Linked DNA regions of Kluyveromyces lactis. The protein of the gene in region 6 purifies or fractionates together with the protein of the main gene of each other region. This does not show direct contact. Links are inferred from orthologs where the notes say so. Each region holds a gene or a part of one and is shown on either strand. Other genes may lie near its edges. The genes, in order: PRP46, CWC21, SMD1, SMB1, SYF2, CWC2 and SMX3.

What was found.
Region 1: the proteins of CWC2 (region 6) and PRP46 purify together in Saccharomyces cerevisiae (affinity purification with mass spectrometry; 5 studies listed by BioGRID). This does not show direct contact. The link is inferred for Kluyveromyces lactis from reciprocal best matches to the Saccharomyces cerevisiae genes CWC2 and PRP46.
Region 2: the proteins of CWC2 (region 6) and CWC21 purify together in Saccharomyces cerevisiae (affinity purification with mass spectrometry; 3 studies listed by BioGRID). This does not show direct contact. The link is inferred for Kluyveromyces lactis from reciprocal best matches to the Saccharomyces cerevisiae genes CWC2 and CWC21.
Region 3: the proteins of CWC2 (region 6) and SMD1 purify together in Saccharomyces cerevisiae (affinity purification with mass spectrometry, with the first as the bait; 3 studies listed by BioGRID). This does not show direct contact. The link is inferred for Kluyveromyces lactis from reciprocal best matches to the Saccharomyces cerevisiae genes CWC2 and SMD1.
Region 4: the proteins of CWC2 (region 6) and SMB1 purify together in Saccharomyces cerevisiae (affinity purification with mass spectrometry; 4 studies listed by BioGRID). This does not show direct contact. The link is inferred for Kluyveromyces lactis from reciprocal best matches to the Saccharomyces cerevisiae genes CWC2 and SMB1.
Region 5: the proteins of CWC2 (region 6) and SYF2 purify together in Saccharomyces cerevisiae (affinity purification with mass spectrometry, with the first as the bait; 3 studies listed by BioGRID). This does not show direct contact. The link is inferred for Kluyveromyces lactis from reciprocal best matches to the Saccharomyces cerevisiae genes CWC2 and SYF2.
Region 7: the proteins of CWC2 (region 6) and SMX3 purify together in Saccharomyces cerevisiae (affinity purification with mass spectrometry; 3 studies listed by BioGRID). This does not show direct contact. The link is inferred for Kluyveromyces lactis from reciprocal best matches to the Saccharomyces cerevisiae genes CWC2 and SMX3.

Annotation. Positions count from the first base shown.
Region 1 is NC_006042.1:1,034,107-1,037,357, reverse strand, and holds PRP46 (mRNA splicing protein PRP46), read left to right. Parts: upstream 1-1,345; coding exon 1,346-2,650; downstream 2,651-3,251. Other genes in the region: pseudouridine synthase PUS7, read right to left, coding at 1-1,084; NuA4 histone acetyltransferase complex catalytic subunit ESA1, read left to right, coding at 3,015-3,251. UniProt on the Saccharomyces cerevisiae protein: Involved in pre-mRNA splicing. May also be required for cell cycle progression at G2/M.
Region 2 is NC_006038.1:878,887-881,200, reverse strand, and holds CWC21 (U2-type spliceosomal complex subunit CWC21), read right to left. Parts: upstream 1,027-2,314; coding exon 571-1,026; downstream 1-570. Other genes in the region: KLLA0_B10076g (uncharacterized protein), read left to right, coding at 1-124; OAZ1 (Oaz1p), read right to left, coding at 1,154-1,732. UniProt on the Saccharomyces cerevisiae protein: Involved in pre-mRNA splicing. May function at or prior to the first catalytic step of splicing at the catalytic center of the spliceosome, together with ISY1. May do so by stabilizing the catalytic center or the position of the RNA substrate.
Region 3 is NC_006040.1:320,185-322,710, reverse strand, and holds SMD1 (mRNA splicing protein SMD1), read right to left. Parts: upstream 996-2,526; coding exon 570-995; downstream 1-569. Other genes in the region: U4/U6-U5 snRNP complex subunit PRP38, read left to right, coding at 1-422; KLLA0_D03751g (uncharacterized protein), read left to right, coding at 1,627-2,190; KLLA0_D03740g (uncharacterized protein), read right to left, coding at 2,180-2,512. UniProt on the Saccharomyces cerevisiae protein: lays a role in pre-mRNA splicing as a core component of the spliceosomal U1, U2, U4 and U5 small nuclear ribonucleoproteins (snRNPs), the building blocks of the spliceosome. Also binds telomerase RNA and is required for its accumulation.
Region 4 is NC_006038.1:47,990-50,551, forward strand, and holds SMB1 (mRNA splicing protein SMB1), read right to left. Parts: upstream 1,110-2,562; coding exon 534-1,109; downstream 1-533. Other genes in the region: CHZ1 (Chz1p), read left to right, coding at 1,546-2,064; Rab family GTPase YPT31, read right to left, coding at 2,404-2,562. UniProt on the Saccharomyces cerevisiae protein: Plays a role in pre-mRNA splicing as a core component of the spliceosomal U1, U2, U4 and U5 small nuclear ribonucleoproteins (snRNPs), the building blocks of the spliceosome.
Region 5 is NC_006041.1:412,628-415,345, forward strand, and holds SYF2 (Syf2p), read right to left. Parts: upstream 1,316-2,718; coding exon 650-1,315; downstream 1-649. Other genes in the region: KLLA0_E04621g (uncharacterized protein), read left to right, coding at 1-551; UTP8 (Utp8p), read left to right, coding at 1,556-2,718.
Region 6 is NC_006039.1:1,336,532-1,339,560, reverse strand, and holds CWC2 (active spliceosome conformation promoter CWC2), read right to left. Parts: upstream 1,578-3,029; coding exon 564-1,577; downstream 1-563. Other genes in the region: mRNA splicing protein PRP28, read left to right, coding at 1-122; snoRNA-binding protein NHP2, read left to right, coding at 2,535-2,984. UniProt on the Saccharomyces cerevisiae protein: Involved in the first step of pre-mRNA splicing. Required for cell growth and cell cycle control. Plays a role in the levels of the U1, U4, U5 and U6 snRNAs and the maintenance of the U4/U6 snRNA complex.
Region 7 is NC_006041.1:436,209-438,791, forward strand, and holds SMX3 (mRNA splicing protein SMX3), read left to right. Parts: upstream 1-1,510; coding exon 1,511-1,513; intron 1,514-1,624; coding exon 1,625-1,960; downstream 1,961-2,583. Other genes in the region: GPI-anchor transamidase subunit GAB1, read left to right, coding at 13-1,191. UniProt on the Saccharomyces cerevisiae protein: Plays a role in pre-mRNA splicing as a core component of the spliceosomal U1, U2, U4 and U5 small nuclear ribonucleoproteins (snRNPs), the building blocks of the spliceosome.

The DNA.
Region 1 (3,251 bases), on a different chromosome or scaffold from region 6:
ATAGGACTTGCCCAATTTGATGCGTTGAAACACTGAACGTACCAAATCTTTGCATACCGAAATAATTGATGAACCCATTTTGTTCCAAGGATTTCATGCCATTGGCTAGGATATCATCCAAATCATCGCCTTCATTCTTCAATGAAACATCTCTGATAGCAATAGTGAATTCGTTTCCCTGTAGATCTCCCAAGTTCAATGGCTCATCTTCGAATTTGTAGCCACCTAGAACGACACCCTTCAAGCCCTTGTTTAGTCCGTTTAATCTGTCCAAACCAATTTTGGATAAAGACATTCTTTGACAAGTGACAGCCCTACGATCCTTTGTTCCAGAAAATCTGATCAACCTTGTTGGAATTCTCATGAATTTTGATAAAGTATTAGCGACATCCATAGTATCTTTGTTTTCCTTATAGACAGTAAAATGAATAAACGATTTTGATGGACCATAACCCCAGTTTTCGACACCGTTTGCATCCTTAGTTTGTTCGATCAATTCTTCTTTGCTAACACGTGTTTGGCGAGAAGCCATTCCAACAATGAAATGGTTTGAATCCGTCGTTACAGATTCTAACTTGTTGTCGAAAGCTCTACGTAGCAGTTGATGTATTTTAGTCCTTTCAAGTTTATCATCGAATGCCTTCGATGTTTCAATCTTTTTATTTGAGCGGTACACAGCTTCAATTTTTTGAACATCCTCTTCTCCCAAAAGTTCAACAAGTTCATTTCTAATTCCTTCATCCACCTTAAATCCTTGGCGTTTCTCAAGTTCTTCTTTTTGCGATTGCTCGATTTGTTCTCTCGTTGGCTTTGGCTTCTTTGGCATATTAAAACCTTTGTCAGTCAAATGCACAACTTCGCCTTGCTTGGTGATTTCATTGACTAAAAAGTCAGTGTACCTTTGTTTGATCTGACCATTGAAACCAACATTATCCATTGATAAGTAATGCGTGATACCAACATCCTTTTCAGTGATGTTGTTATTGTTTATACCTTCATTTATACCTTCACCAACTTTTGTCCTCTTAATATCTTCTTGCTGGGCAGCAGCTTCGGACTCTCTTTTCAAAGATTGGTCTGACATTATACCAATACTATACTTTAACACGAGAGTACTAATACCTGGTACTTGTTATAAGCAATTAAGAAGCGCAGCTTCCAGATTTGAACAACTGACTTCTGCTTCAATGTGATGAGATGAGATGAGATGAGCTCGAAATTTTTCAAGAAACGAAAAGAACCGTTTTGTATGATGGATATTATGAAAAGTTAACGAAGTGACATATACAAAGATGAAAGAGAGTTACACGACTTAATCGAACTGATAGACAACTAATAAGTACCAATGAATACATCCAGCCGTAGCTCTGAACCTTCGAAGGTAGCAGATGATGTTTACGTTCAAACTCGGTGGAATAATGAATTTAAACATGCTGATTATTTACCTGAGTCGTTACAGAAGTGCCTGGATCAAGAAAAGACTGTTTTAGAAAGGTACAGTGAATTAGTTGAGGTGTCGAAAACTGTTGCAAACGAAAGCTCTCAAGCATTAGTCAAACATACCACAAAACCAGGCGACCAACTAGTACGAAGAGTGTTCCAACAGCCACATCAGCAGATTTCATTGATGGAACGTTATGAAAAGACTCGAAGTTATAAACCGCAATGGCATGCACCATGGAAACTCAGTAAGGTAATAAATGGTCATACTGGATGGGTAAGATGTGTATGCGTGGACCCCGTTGACAATGAATGGTTTGCTACTGGTAGCAACGATACAACCATTAAAATCTGGGATTTAGCTGCGGGAAAGTTGAAAATTACTCTAATCGGGCATGTAATGAGTGTTCGAGATATTGCTATCTCAAAGAGACATCCTTATATGTTCTCAGCAAGCGAAGATAAACTTGTAAAATGTTGGGATCTAGAAAGAAATACTGCAATTAGGGATTTTCACGGTCATTTATCTGGCGTGCATACCGTTGATGTTCATCCGAGCCTTGATATAATAGCTACTGCTGGTCGTGATGCTGTAGTAAGGTTGTGGGATATACGATCAAGATCTGAGATAATGGTTCTGCCCGGTCATAAAAGCCCTATAAATAAAGTCAAATGCCTTCCCGTTGACCCACAAATAATCAGTTGTTCCGGGGATGCAACAGTTAGACTTTGGGATATCATTGCAGGGAAGGCAAGCAAAGTTTTAACGCACCATAGTAGAAACATCAGAGACTTGACGCTACACCCAGCAGAGTTTAGCTTTGCCAGTGTATCTACGAACGACGTCAGATCCTGGAAATTGCCCGAAGGACAGCTATTAACCAACTTTCAATCCCAGAACACTGGGATTTTGAATACCGTATCAATTAATCACGATAATGTACTATTAGCTGGTGGAGATGACGGTACTTTGTGCTTTTACGATTACAAAACAGGACACAAATACCAAAGTATGATGACAACTGAAGTTGCTGGCTCACTTGAAAGTGAGCGATCGATTTTATGCAGCACCTTTGATGTCACAGGAACAAGACTCATCACAGGGGAAGGAGACAAAAGCATCAAAATATGGAAGCAAGTCCCTGATGCTACAGAAGATACATTCCCTGGCTTGCCGTGGAATCCCACGTTAATATCTCAAAGATTCTAATCTAGCTGGTGTCTACTTGCAGCGACTTATGTAGAAGTTTGTAGTTTAACTCTATTAGGTCCCCGTTTTCCATCTATCTAGAATATTTCAGTCTGCATTAATTGCGAGGTTTGCTCTAACTGTCATATGATTACAGTCACGTAGTCAAGGACAGGGAACGTCAGGTTTTCTTGTATGTTTGTTCAAGCATGGTGTTTGCTTTAATACGGTAATCTGAATAAATTAACTGAAATTTAGCATCTTCAAAATATTTGAACTTATTAGTTACGCAATAAACCAAATCCAAAAACAGAGCACCTCTGTAAGAGGAACTAGTAAGGCAAGGCAACTGTTTAACAAATATTTTGGGCGAGCTCGCTAATACATGAGTCACGGCGAAGAAAAGGAACCTGGGATTCCCCAGAAGGTTGACAGCATCGATGAGATTTTCGTTGGATGCAAGTCATGGGTACTAAAAGATGGTCAAGATCGTCTTGCTGAAATTCTATCCATTAACAGCAGAAGAGATCCACCTAAGTTCTACGTGCATTATGAAGACTTCAATAAACGTCTAGATGAATGGATCACTGCTGATAGGTTACAGATAGACAAGGAAGTCATT
Region 2 (2,314 bases), on a different chromosome or scaffold from region 6:
TAAGTTCATTTACATTCATGATAGTCATAACCTCGAAGACGGGAAGAAATTGGTCAATATTGACGATTTAGACAAAGGTTTGGAACAATTCAAAAATTTGACTATCTGGTGTAGAAATGAATGAATGAATGAAAATTTACACGACAAAATAAAATCTAAAATTATACGAAGGGCATATCATATAAATCGATTGCCTGTTAAAACAATGAAAAGACTCTAAAAATTCAAATTATTTCTCAGTTCATGGCATCTTTTAAAACACCGTTTTACTTTTCTTCCATTTAAACCTTCCTTTCTCTTTCAGTGTTAAGATAATTGTACGGACATTCACTTCATCAGGGGAGAAACATATTATCTTACTTCTTTTATTATGCATCAATAAAAGCCCCGACAAGATTATATTGGGGCAGAACGTTGACTATCTTGTTAAATTACACTTTTACCTTTGAGCCAGAAAGTTGCAGTTTTGTATATTATTTTATTAGTTCTAAGTTTTATAGTTCATGTTTAACAATCGTGTACTAGTACTAAAATGTAATATAGCTATGATACACCAAGCGAAATTATTAATCAATTCTGACTTCTTGACTGCTCGTTTCCTTCTAGTATAGACCTGCGATAGTCTTCACATTTACTGTCTATGGTGTCATCAGACAAATCATCCGGTCCATCCTCTAGTTTATCACGATACTCAGAAACTAATAATTCGATCTGCCTTTTCGCTTTGTGGGATATTACGCTTTCATCTTTAGCAGGTTGTATTTGTTGCTGCTGTTGCTGTTGCTGTTGTTCTTTATCATGTGTAGTTAATCTAGGGTCCTTTTTCCTGTTCGTAAATGCTAACGATTGTTGAACGTAACCGGAGGTGCTGCTTCCCTTGGCACTAGATAAACCGATGCCGTTATATGACATTATTATATAGAGACACGAGCAGCTGGGTTGGTATATTCCCTTCAGCAGCCAAGAGTGTAATGGTTTGAAGTGACAGTGATACTGCAGCGTGTAGCTTAACTCATTCCATTTCATCAATTCGTTAAAACTGATATAGCTATTATTAATAATGTGATGTATGGGTGTTTAACTCTGGAATACTTAAATACACGCATACATATCGTTACTAGACAGAGGGACAGTAGAGTGAAGACATCCACTTTCAAACTTGAAACTGAAGTATGACATACTTATCATCTGACCAACTGATGGAACTAAACGTAGAATCCAGTGTGCGCGTACCAATAGGTTTCATCAAGGATCCGTTTAGCCATGCTAGGTTCCGTAATAAATTCGTAATCAAATCATGGTTTTCGATTGTATTGGCAATGTAGAATACCATTAGATCGCATTGAAAATTATCGTGGTCTAAGAATTCCCATATTTTGAGTATGAGTTGCCGAAGGTCCTGTGAGTACGCAGATGTGGAGACATGGTGTAGATAAATCGATGCAATTTTCCCCAGATCGGATGATAGAAGGATTTTACCGAACAGCTGGAAAGTTGGGTCCAAGATAGTAAAATAGTTAGAACCAATATCATAAACCTTCGAATCCATTGATCTCCCACGCACCAATTGTTTCAAGAGTTTACTGACATTTTTCACAAGATACGTCGTCCAAAGTTTATAATCTTGCGGTTTAAACTGGTAAAACTTGGATTCGAATAGAAATAAGATATCCCAATACTGTTCCAACTGAAATTTACACAATCCGGTGCTACGCCAGCCGAAGAGTAACATCTGACCATTCTCTGTTCTTAAACTGGTAAAAATTTGGTGATATTAGAAATTCATCCGAATTATTATCTGTCGTTGTGGAAGAAGGTAGTACGTCTATGTTATCGTGTCTTTTATTTTTCGTCAAGTCAATAAGTGGGAAGTCGATAGCCAAGGGGGAAAACTCATCTAGTAAACCCGATACATAGCTTTCTATCCTCTGTTGTCTCTTGTATAGCTCGTTTCTATGTATTACTCTACTCATTTTGGAGAGTGATGCGGGCAAAATTTATGATATAACTGACTGAAGGAGTCGGGAACAGCGTTTTGATAACCAACCAGGTGAAATATTGTTTAACAAACCGATAAGCTGGTATGAGCTAGTCATAGTCATTCCTTTATTTACCATTACATAACGCACTTATATGATACACCTTTGCATATCACATGGACGGTGTTTGAATTGTGATTTTCAATTGTGAGGGTTAAGATGAAGGAGGGTAATGCACGGATAAACCCGGGTAACCATTCACACACCGCAAGTCATGTGATGAGCTAGCTCCGGGGTTCCTGCCGCTAGAAATGCCGGTAAACAAAATGACCAAA
Region 3 (2,526 bases), on a different chromosome or scaffold from region 6:
CTCCGTGGGAACAACTAAAAGTATTACTAGAACCGCATGAACCCTTAAACAACAAGTATATTGCAGCACTGGTATTATGTTATATGAGAATCTCGTATTATTTCTTAACTGAGAGTAATCCTTCCGAGCAAGATATATCGTTCAATTTATTACATGATTTAATGAAGAAATATATACTTGATCATAGAAAATTAAAAAGTTACTCGTTAGATATGGATTGTTGGTCATCATCGATTAAAAAAGAGATTAAATTGATACATTTCGATGAGTTGATAGACTGGTTATGCGACAGGAATGAAATTTGGGGCATCCCCTTAGGAAAATGCAATTGGTGTAAAATATGGGACGATGAAGAGGACGATGAGAGCTCAAGCGACTCGGACTCCAGCTCTGATCCAAGAGATGACAGTGATCAAATTTGATTCCATTCTTTCTTTTTTTGGAGGCATCGACTGGAAAGAACGGCTATTCATTATGAAAGATAATTATCAATAGTGTTTAATCATTCATCAAAACAAAGTCCATAACATCACTACATATTTATTTCCACATATGTTTTCTGATGTATATTAAAATGCCCTCTTTGGACGTTTAGGAGCATTCCCGTTACTCTCAAGTGATCTCTTCTTATTCGGATCACTTCCCACTTTACCTTGTTTCCTCAACCTGTTGACTTCCTGTTGGTCTACAAGCAACGCATCCAAATTGATACTATCTGGTAAAATAATCTGCCTTATCGTATTACCCCTAATGTTGATGAACTCGAGGCTAGTTGTTCTCTTAGATTCTTGTCCTTGTGTCGATCCACCTGACAATAAGACGGCAGCCAAGGTAGCTTCTGAGGTCTTAGTAGGGAGTGTCAGCCTGACGTCAGTAAGAGAGACGTTCATCTGCGGTGACACACTCCTCACTATTCCCCAAACAGTGGTACCATTCTTCAACTCTATAGACACCCTTTCATTCTTTAGTTTCTTTAAGAACCCTGTTAACTGCATTTTGTCTGTATATAAAACTTCGTTGTTTCAATCGGACTAAAGATACACCAGAAAGCTGTTACCAGTTTCAAATGGTTTTGATGAAAAAGAGTTTTGAATTTTGCAAAAGTAACAGATGATCCACAAGCAACTTCCTGATTTTGATAAAAGATCAGGATTTGATCGTAGTTACTCAATTGACATATTCTACATAATGATGGATGAAATGGTTCAAATTGATACTCAAGAATCAATGGGGTCGTTCTTTCCTGGAAAAGAGTGGAAATTTCATATTATCACGTGCCTTAACAGGGTAACTCATTTGCGTGAGATTCCAATGGTTTCTTACATTCGAGCGAGCATGTGTTCGAATCTTACATGGAACCCAAAAAGTATTTAGATCCGTTGCATCTCATGTTAAATGGTTAACAGATACACGGAGAAGTGCGATAAGAAACTATCCATGCAAGCGATAACAAAACGTTCTGTCAGTCATTGCTTTGATAAAATCTGGATATATATATATATATATATATATAGATGTTAAAGTCAGATATTACTCTTTTCATATCTCATGGATCGCAAGCTTTCAAGGTTACTGCTGCTCGCATCGAGAGATTGGGAGTATTAAAGATTAACGCCAAGAGTAAACATGTCGTCATCAGTAATCTTGAAGAGATATAATATTTTACTCAAACGTAACCCGTTATTAACTAAATGCATAACAGGCGCGGTATTAACTGGGTTAAGCGAACTGTTCAGTCAATGGGTTAGTCTGTCTCCAGAGGAAAGAAAAGAGAAGCTAAATTGGATCAAAGTGGCATTGATGAGTCTATATGGTGGTCTATTTAACGCACCAGTTAATCATTTCAGTTACAAATGGATAAACGAATACACAATTAGGAAAGTGGTATCCAAATATAGAAGCTTGGTCCAGTTAGGCTGCTCATTAGGCATGGTATCGCCTATTCAAGTGTTAGGGTTACTATTTACCTTGACTTCTGTTAACAACGGTAAGGTTGACAAAACAAAAATTATACACGCAATCAAGACAAGATATGCGGCAATGTTGTCTTCCAGCTTGGCAACATCAACGGTATTGATGTCAATTGCTCAAAGATACATTTCACCAGATAAATGGTCCGTATTTTTTAGTTTGGCATACGCAATTCTGGGTACGGCTCAGAATATTTATTTGAAGAAATTCAAGAAATAAGGGTCTTGATCCATTCTGATAAAATATTACTTTCATTCTTCAAGGAAAGAATCTCTCTCCGCAAATTCTCTTGAATCATTCGGTTTTTATCGTCCTCAGTTTGATCGTTTTCTGAAGACAAAGATATTGGACTCATCGGTAGTTTATTCCAATGTTCCAATTCGCTTTTCAAGCCTCTGTTCTCGTTTCTTAGCTTCTCGACTTCAGCATTGAGGCGTTCCAGACTTTGCTTTAAAGTCATGACTTCCTTATCCTTCAACCCAAGTTCATAGGTCAACTGTGCTAAATCTCCTTCTAATTCTGTAGTTCTAATATTCACCATCGATCGATGAAAAT
Region 4 (2,562 bases), on a different chromosome or scaffold from region 6:
TGCTTGAACAATCAGTAGGACTATTTCTCCGGATTCCTATAAAAAAAACACACACTCATGATATCGTGGCATGCGATATATTTGTTGTTTTTGCGAAACTTGCAAACTCTAATTCTTGCCCGTTCTCAGCTGAGAGATATTCCGCACCATGATTGTCCAGTTGGAAGCCATATTTAACACATAACATTTCTTTTGTCCGCAGGGCTATGGTGGGGTCATGGGGTATATCTGGAGGTTTCGTATAGGCATTTGGTGGGGTGGTTGAAAAGGGAATGAGGTGGATAATCATATTTCGCACAGGCTTTTAACGTTGCGCAGTACAGGGATATCATTACACTGGATAAAGCTAGATAAATTCTATATCTTCTTGTTCTAGTCGTTACAGTGGGATATCCAAAGTCCTCTGCGTGTACGTAAGAGGTAACTAAAGACATATCTATCAACATGTCTCGGATAATTATAGCTAAGATCGGTGATCGTAGCACCAAAACAATTTTTTTTATATCAATAAGTATGACAAGTTGTTCGCTGGTTTAGTTTCTTTTTTTGAAGCCTGGAGGGGCTTGGAACCGGCTGGGGCGTACCTGACTATTAGAATTAAACCTACTGGGAGCTCCAGAATTCGTATTGATAGGTTTATGACTTGGCTTCGTAACTCTATTTGAACTTTCTGAGTTAGTTGAAGTTATATTAGATCCATTCGTTCCAACGTTCATCTTGTTAGAAGTCTTCCCTTGACGAGCCTTTTTCGCATTATCTAATTTTTTTGCATTCTTCTTCTGGACTTCGATTCGTTCCTTCTTAGAGAGTTGGGGAGGTGACTCAACCGAGGTACTCAACACATGCTCACCCCGTAAAATTATTAGTCCAAAAGTCCTTCTTTCGACTTGCACATTGCTTGACAAGTTTCCTCCACTTTTAAGTACTTCTATGATTTGTTTATGAGGCATGCGTTCCTCTACACAATCTCCCATTACAAGGTTCATATATGCATCAAAAGCCATAAGTTGGCCAATATAAACCCTTCCGTCATGGGTAGCGACTCGTATTCTATAATCTATCAAATCTGATAGCTTCGTTTCCTTCTTTTTAACTTCAACTTGCGACATCGTCCTTGTATCTTTTGTATGATATGCTTAGAGATATAACTATTCTTCTTGGTGAACAAAGAAAGTGAAAAAGACTGTAAACTCGATTGTAAGAGGTATCCTTATATCATGCACAAAAAAGCGGTCCGTAGCAGTGATTCTTTATAGGACCAACGCAAGTTACTCATTGATCGTGAAACTAGTTAATGTTTTAATTTTCGATACAACATGATAGTTAGAATTCATCCACTATGCGGCTATGAAAAAAAATGATCACGTGGAAAATTATGTTTCTTTGGGATTTGAGATAATATGAATTATATTTGGTTCGCAAGATGCGAAAAGGAAACAAATACTGGTAAGCATCTTTAGATCAAAAAAAGCATTGCGTGAGCCTAGGTCGTACTCCTCGAACATCAGCACACTAATCATATCAACAGATACAAAGTTTGCAAATATGGCTGAAGAAATTAAGGATAAGCAAGAATTTCAAATAGGTGCAGAAGAGCCTGACTCTTCCAACGTTGCTTCACAAGCTAAAAGAAGTGCTGAAAGTGAGCTTGCTTCTACCGCTGATGCCAACGATAAGAAATCTAAAAAGAAGAGAAGAAGAAGAAACTATGATGATTTGGATGAAAAAATTGCTCAAGAAGACAAGGCATCTGCTACTTCTGGTGCTAACAAGGAAGAAGATAGTGAAAGTGAAGTCGATGACGAAAAATTAGATCAAATGATGGTAAAAGAAGATGAAGAAGAAGACGACCTTTCAGAAATCGATAGTTCCAATATTATAACTACTGGTAGGAGAACTCGTGGTAAGATTATTGATTATAAAAAGACTGCCGAGAAATTGGAAAAAAATGGTGAGGTTGGCAAGGATGATGATGATGATGAAGACGATGAAGAAAATGACGAAGAGTTCAAGGATCCAGCTGCTCCTGCCCCTGCCCCTGCTAGTCCGACTGAACCCAAATAGAAATTTGAATTAAAAATTTACTCAAGCGCATATAAAAGTTTGTAGTTTCACTAAATCTCCATGTTTGACATTATGGTAGTGTTTCATTTAAAAGAACAATGGATACGACGCAATGAACTGAGAAGGTATTTTGCAGTTAAGAAGTTTCAGGATGTCCTTCCAAACAGCTAGTATTTGCATAATTATGGCAGTCAATGTTATATACATAAAACAAGTGTCTAACTTAATCGGGATAAATGTCCCAGTCGATGATAATTCTGCTTCCCTTTTTCTTTCCGGGGCTTATACTTTCTATATAAACACCCTATAAGGAATGACCATAATACACGTTTAGAATTCCTAACAGCAGTTGTTTGTACTCTTTTTGTGTTTTTCGTTTGGTGCCGGTGTCAAAGAGATCGTAGGTCCCTTTGGAGCGTTGGCATTGTTTCCTGAGGCGTCATTCAAGTCTAGTTGATTTTTGGAAATCATTTGGTAGATAGCAGTAATCAATGCTCT
Region 5 (2,718 bases), on a different chromosome or scaffold from region 6:
ATAATTTGATCAAAGCATTCGAATCATGGACCAAATGTCAACTATCAATTGATCAAAGCAAGGCTGAAATGGATAGTTTGATGGTTAAAGAGTTCAACGCCAAACTATCTAAACTTATTGAAACTGATTTCAAGAAAGGTCACGAATTGCGCGCTAAGGTTCAAGATGCAAGATTGAACTTTGATACTTTACGTCATGAAATTAAATTGAAGCTGCAGGAAAAAGAGGTTGTAGCATCCTCTGAGGAAGCTGAAAAAAAGGTCGCAACTGAAACCCCTGAAACCCCCGAAAAGAAAACCAATGAGGAACCAGTTGATATGGCAAAGACAGAAGAAGATCCTGATTCTAAGCTTTTCGAACGATTAGAAGATCAGTTCGTGTCTGCAACCTCAGAAACTGTGGAATTCTTGGGAGAACTTACAGATAGTTCTGAGATCATTTCTTTGGTTAAGTTGTTCCATAATTTCCAATTGATCCATTACAAGCAATGTGTCAAGAGCTTAGAAGAAGATCTAGAAGTCCTTAACTCACTAGATTCTGAAGACAAATGAAGAAATCCACCTCTATATATCGTTAAAATAAAATAATTATTCATAATCAATCGTAAATATCTCATATGTAAATGCCCAATATACCTATTTTCCCATGCCTATTTGAACTCGCTATTCAATTTTGCATTAAACCGTTTATTCTTGTCATTAATAAATCCATCATCCAAATTGATCTTATTTTGTTTATCTAGTTTTTGTTTCCGTACCATATACCTTTTCTTTGATCGTTCGTTCAAATCATTCACCATTTTTTCTACTAGTTCAGGATTATCTTCTACTTGAACCTTCCCATCCTCAGTTATTCCACCTTTCAACGGATGTGATATATCCTTCGGAAGCGCATCTACTTCCTTCTTGTAGCTGTTCTTTGCTATAGTTTGGAAGTCCCCCATCACGCTTTTATTATGTCTTGAATTCTGTGTCTTAGCTTCCCATTTTTCATATTCGCGTATTGAGTAGTTTGCCAATTTTATCGGATCTTCTGGTTCGCTTTTGTTACTTCTAGCTTTATCTTCGCCATCGTCAGCCATACTGTATACTCTTCTTTCAGAGTTTTTCTTCTCTTCAGCTATTATGGCCTTCTTATTCCTTATACTTACTTCCACTTTTTGTTTCCGCAAACTCTTCAACTTTTTTTCAATTTCCATTAGATCATTCATCTTCGAATATTTATTATCAGCCTGTGTCCAGTTTACAATGTGATTTGTGGCATTCAAATAAGGGCTACACTTTCTGTCACCTGGAAGATATCTGAGTATATTCATCGCATCTCATCTTGTTTCTGTTTGCATTTCGACACTATATATTACCCGGACTGACTCCCAAAAGTAAAGTTTGAAAAATTTGAAGTACTCAGAAGAAGAGATGAGATGCGATGAGATGCGATGAGCTGTAAGTGCAAAGATACACTCAACCGCTGCTCTTGAAAGGACGAGGTGAAGTATCAAATATCCTGTGTTCAATACAGTTTGCTTTGATATTATTTATCGAAAGATATTGAGAAAATGGCATCCATCTCACAGCCTTTTAGGCTCTCTGCTCTACCTAAGATTCCATCATTGAATAATTATGCGAATCAAACAGACTACTTACAAGTTGTTGATAATCTTTCACCATCAGCCAATAAAGTGAATATTGGTATATCAGGTTCCAGTATATCACAATACTTGATTAATCCAACCCCGAAGCTGGTTTTTAACTTGCCAATCCCCTCTACGAACATTGTTACTGCATGTGACGTGGTAGAAGATGCAGCCAATACAGAAGTCTGGTGTTACGGATTGGAAGCTAGAAAGGTATCACATTTACACTTGGCTACTAAGCCGATGATTCAAGATGCCGTGTCATCTTCAAATGCTGAAATCACATCTCAGTTCAAATATAAACTAAAATCTGAAGTCGTTAGCATTAAGATCTATTCTAAAGCAGAGAAAGTTCTCGTTATCTTAAGGAATGGACTGATTCAAACATTTGATTATGAATTGAAACTTTCAAATACTATTGATATATCTTATGATGATATCAGATTTGTTCAATTCTTCCAAGATGGGCAGGGAAACGATTTCTTTTTCGTGTTATGCCAACTAAGTGATGAGAAAATCTGTTACAAACTTTTCCAAGTTAGGAGTGAGTCCGTCTCATGTATTGAACTAAATTCTATCATACTAGAAAATTACACTTTAGAGAATGCAAAGTTGTGTTTTGAGTTCGGGAAATTATATGTTTTAAAGAACTCAAATGAATTATCAATCTATCAGTTACCACATTTGCAACTACAAACTAGCATTCAGCTACCTTTCATTTCCAAGGATGCAGTTGTATCCATCAAACCAGTTTCTTCAAACCGTGTATTGTTGACTGCTGATAATACCATATATCTTGTGGATTTGTTATACAATGCTATACTATTCCAAAAGGATTTACAGAACATCAAAGCTATTCAACTACTCTCTACTGCAGTTGTTCAAGAAAACTCTGAAGACAATAGAAAAACTATAGCATTAGATGTTACAACTAAAAACGGTGCTAACCCTACGAGTTACTTGGATGTTATTAACATTGATGTTGGTACCGGTACCTTAAAAGATGCGATGGGTAAAGGGTTCATGGTTAAACAAAAGCAGAAACTACAGAAACTCTTTGAAGAAAGCAATGAGGACGACGATGT
Region 6 (3,029 bases):
CCATGGCTAAATTGTTCGATTATGTCAAAAAGAACGACTTCACCGGAGAAAATTACATCTCAAAAGAAGCTATGTCGAAATACAATGTTGACAAATCTTCATACAAACCAATTATTATATGAAAGGACTAGACTTTTTTCCTTGAAATTTTAGAGTCATGCAATATGAATTAGAGTATTTAACGTAAATAGTTACAGTGTGCTAGCTAATAATGCATTTAGGATTCCAGGTCAATCCTGGAAATACCCAATGGTCTGACGATTCATGCGTTCTTGTTTGAGCCTGTGCCTTGTCTTCCATTTTTTCGGATGTCTGATTCAAAATTATCGTGTTTTTTGATGAAGGCCAAACCGTAGACTGACGAAGTTCAAGTAAGTGAACTCGACAAAACAACTTCGACATAATTTGAAAACCAGGCATTGATAGCTTTTATATTCATTTCAAATATTTGCAATGTCAGTAAAACAAATCTGAAATCCGCTAGATGTTGTTCATGACGGCAACCAGTAATCCAAAATATACCTAATCTGGAAAAGTCAATGTGTCACATGACTTCACGAAATCTAGTCTTCATCAGATGAATATTGGGTTACCAAAGGTAAAACCGACGATGGTTTTGAAACTGTTATATTTGCAGCAACGTTGGTATTGGTAATAGTCACTTTCCTTTGTTTCAACTTATCTAAAATAGTCTTATCTATGATTGCATTCTCCCTAATGCTGAATCTTTCACGACTGTTCGCCTGCGAATCTCTCACTTCGTTGATTTCTTCAACTTTACGTTTTTGATTTACAGTGCCTTCAGTACTAGCCACTAGTTGTTTTATAGCTTTCAAAGTCTCTTGGGTTTGTTCTTCCAATTCTCTCTTTCGTACAGCTGGATTAGGATCCTCGTTCGCCCATTTCACAAGCAACCCAGTTCCCTCCTTCCTTAGATCCCACTCTTTATCGGTTGGTATTAATAGAGTCTGATTGCCCATTGCTTCCTTAGTAAATTCGGAGTTACACTGTAATTTGAACTTGACAAAGGCACAATTCTTACTCTCCACGTATCGAACAGAATCCAATTCTCCAAGTTTCCCGAACTTGTATTTCACTCTATTCTCAATCTGATGTGGTTTCAAAGTTTTGTTGTTGAGTGCCCCTGTAATACCACCCACGTATAAGACACGGTTAGGTTTCTTGAAGGAACCTACCCCACCCATATCATCTCTATAATCAGCAAATTTCTCTCTTCCAAAACAATCTAACGCAGAGGAATGCAAAGCTAACCTCGCAAAATCATCTGGCTCTGGAATATGATGCAAGTACCGACAATTTTTGCCTAAACAGCACATTCCCTTAGCGAAATACAAACAGAAATGAATCCGACCCTCTTTATCACCTTTAGTGATACCAGAATCGTTCTCGGGATCAAGCGAGTACGGTGTGACGAACCTAGTGGACCCACTTTGCCCCTGTGACCATTTGTTGTACCATACGTTGAAAGCCAAACCCGTCTGAGGCGGTACTGATGAAGGTAGGTCAGACTCCTGTAACTGAACCCTTGCTGGTCGGTTCTTCCAATCCCCAGTCATAATATATTGATGACGATGACCTTAATATTTGGCAATTTGCCAAACCAAGTATTCTTTAATGACCTCGAACAAGCAAACAGTTTGAACCGTCCAATTTATGCAACAACAGATACCGTATTATAACGGTGAAAACTGTATCTTGTCGAGCACACATCTTCCATGTTCATCTCATCGCAGGCCAAAGTGTTTTCAATAAACTTCAAGGTTGGAACTTTTCTTTAGTGAAAACGATCATGATCAAAAACAAAATGGAAACGAAAAAAAGATAAGTCTCCCGGGGGCGAGTCGAACGCCCGATCTCCAGATTACAAATTGCTTTGTGTTTTCAAATTACAGTCTGGCGCCTTAAACCAACTTGGCTACCGAGAGAAGTTACTTGTGTGTTGTAATTTTCAATGATGCTATAACCAAACTTCAAGGTTTACTAAGACTACATTGCCTGACATTAAGAGGTATATGGAGTATTTAAACCTTTTAAAGTATTTAATTATACAAGTGAAGTGATCACAGGACAATAATGCCCTGCACCTGGAACAGCTAATTTCTCCTACAGAGTTTAATCATTGTACATATTGTTCGCCATTTAAAACTCCAAGTTTTGTATGAAATTAAAGGGACTCATCCAGAATAATGTTAGGCGATGGACATTTCTACAACTGCTATGTACCACCTCCGAAACAAGACGCTGGCACGATATTCTGAAAAGTTGTTTATGTGTCGCATGGATTAATTTATGTCGTCCCTACTGTAATTGATACTTTATTTCTTTTTCATGTTACTCGGTACTGGAAAATTTTCATTTTTTGTTAACAAAAAGAAGAGCGATGAGTATGAGAATTGAACTGTTGAATGAATCGATGAACCTATCTTGCTGATGTGATATTGATTCCTTTCTCAATCAATTGCTCGCTCTATTTGAACCAGGGGAACAGTGAAGAACTATACATAATAACAAAGATGGCCAAGGATAAGAGTGTATCAACAGAAGACAACTACGAAGCTAGACTTCCTGCCGTTCTACCATTTGCAAAACCTCTAGCATCAAAGAAACTGAACAAAAAGGTGTTAAAGACCGTCAAGAAGGCTTCCAAGGCTAAGAATGTCAAAAGAGGTGTCAAAGAGGTTGTCAAGGCTTTGAGAAAGGGTGATAAAGGGTTAGTAGTCATTGCTGGTGATATTTTCCCACAAGATGTTATTTCTCACTTGCCAGTTTTGTGTGAAGACCAATCTGTTCCATATATCTTTGTGCCCTCGAAGCAAGATCTAGGTTCTGCTGGTGCCACCAAGAGACCTACTTCTGTTGTATTCATCGTTCCAGGCTCTAACAAGAAGAAAGATGCTAAGGCTAAGGAAGAAGAATACCGTGCTGCATTCGATGAAATTGTTAAGGAAGTAAGCTCTTTGTAGAGATATGAAAACTGTCGACAGAACAACCGGAAAAGAGAAAGTTAT
Region 7 (2,583 bases), on a different chromosome or scaffold from region 6:
CTTGAGGTGATTATGGTTTCGTCCGAATGGCAGGTTGTATGGGCTTGTTTTGCGTCCAGATTGGCTGTTTCGTACCTGTTCCCTTCTTTGCAGCAGCAATTGGACAGAACCGTTGAGTTTTCTACTCCGGTTACAAGCTATAGATCTCTGCAAGAAGGTGCGTATCTTTTACTGCATAATTTGCCCATTTATGATGGTGGTGTTGTGCATCATGTGCCTCTGCTGGTAGCTTTAATGGCATTCGTTCAACAAGCGGAGTTTCTAATGCCCGTTTTGTTTGCGGCCATGGACACTCTAATAGCGTATCAATTGATGCAAATAGCTAAGATATATCAACGCCAATTGCAAATTCCTAGTTATATTCCAGGTGTGGTTTATGCAGTGAACCCTTTGGTACTTTTATCATGTGTCTCACAATCGACATGTCTATTTGTGAACCTTTCCATTTCTACTTCTTTACTATTTGCGTTATCTAGACAGTTCTCACTGTCAGCCATATGCATTGCGTTGGCTGGTTATTTATCACCTTACGCTTATCTACTGTTGATCCCATTGGCAGGAATCTGTGGATCAAATTCTTTCGGCCTTGTTGTCAAGTGTACATTGGTATCGATTGTTTTGCAGTTGATCAGTTTCAAGTTAAATAACGATAACTGGAACTATTTGACTTCAACATACTGGATATTGATTACTTTCAGTAAGATAAGGCCAAATCTAGGGTTGTGGTGGTATTTCTTTATTGAAATGTTCGAATTTTTCATCCCATTTTTCAAATCTGTGTTCAACATATTTGTTGTTTCATTTATCCCACCTTTCACTATTAGATTCAATCAGCAATCGTTTTACGCATTTGTTCTATGTCTAGGTTGGATTACGCTCACCAAATCATACCCAACGTTAGGTGACGGAGGGTTTTTCTTAAGTTTTATCCCATTTTTCAAACCGATCTTTGGGTATCTAAGATATCCAGTCATATCAACCCTTTTATTCATTCATGCCATCATTTTGTCACCAATCTTCTACTACCTATGGATTGGATTAGGCTCCGGTAATAGTAACTTTTTCTATGCCATTTCTTTGGTTTATGCGTTAGCCATCTCGTCAGTGATTGTGGATTTGACGTGGGCCATGTTAAGAATTGAATACGATTCAGGTAAACCAAACCTTTCATTAAAACTGACTCAAATTTGAATGAACCCTGTTCCTTCTGTTGGAAGAAACATATCGTATTGTCATTATTTAATATATATCTAAGTATGACTTACCCAGTGCATGGCATAAAAACTTTTGAAAACTGTCCGGACTACTTTGGTTTGTTTTATTTGTTCCCTTGGTAGGGCATCTAATATTTCCATGCCATATTGAAAAACATGAAAATACAGTATTGCAAAAAGATAGACAACGAAAACATTACGTAGCAACCAACAGACGTAATAAAACCTTTAACAGATTCTCGAATTATATCGTGTAATCGATACATATCAGAACACCCGCGCATTAACGTATTGAAATGGTAAGTTTTCTTGTTCCATACTTTTTTGGTCGCAGCTAGGACGATTATGTCCATCTGCGATCGATGAATCCACAGATTTTGTCACCTTACTAACCAATTTAAACGTTGCAGGATCCAGAGGAATTCAAACCAATTAACCCTAAACCCTTTTTACATCAATTGATAGACAAAGATGTGCTGGTGACACTCAAATTCAATAAAATACAATATAAAGGAAGACTTGTATCGGTAGATACATATTTCAATCTACAACTAACAGATGCGGAAGAGATCATAAATGATGTCTCAAGTGGGAAAGTTGGGGACATTTTCATCAGATGTAATAACGTGCTATACGTAGGAGAGGATGTGAACAAGCAAAGTGATCAACCCCCTACGCCGACTGGAACAACAGAGAAATCTGACGATAAAGAGGAAAATGGAGAACTCGCAGAAGAAGCGAATTAATATAGCACTAGTCTGAATATTATTGAAGCAAACAAGGAAACATCGGAATAATTATGGATTCACTGTATAGCTTTCCTCAGTTGTAATAGAATTAGGGAACTGCTTATCTTAATAAAGGGAATATTAGTATTAGTATAATTAATGATAGTATAGTTTATGTAGGTTTTACAATTCAAAGGCTCATTCTAAAAAAATCTCTAGAGATTAATACCTTATGTTTTTCATTCCAAGAAGGTCTCGTTCACGGTGTAACAGCTGTTCCAGCCACCATGGATTTCTTATTGCTTACTAGTTTTCCAGTTGAGTTGGGGTAGTGATTTCCAAAAAAAATGCAAAAATGAAACGGACAGGAATTGAACCTGCAACCCTTCGATTGCAATTTTGTTTCCATAGAAATTTCCAGGATTTAACTGGAGTCGAAAGCTCTACCATTGAGCCACCGCTTCATTCTTAAGGTTTTTATCTATAACATCTTCTATATGAAATGGAGTGGCAGCATTCCTTATTTATAATAGTCACTTTAGGCCAGAGTATATTGCTAAGGTGAACCTGGAGCATTTCAACTGAATTAGGTGTCGTCGGTACCAGTGTTTTTTAACAGAATTGAATTACGCTTCCCAGGA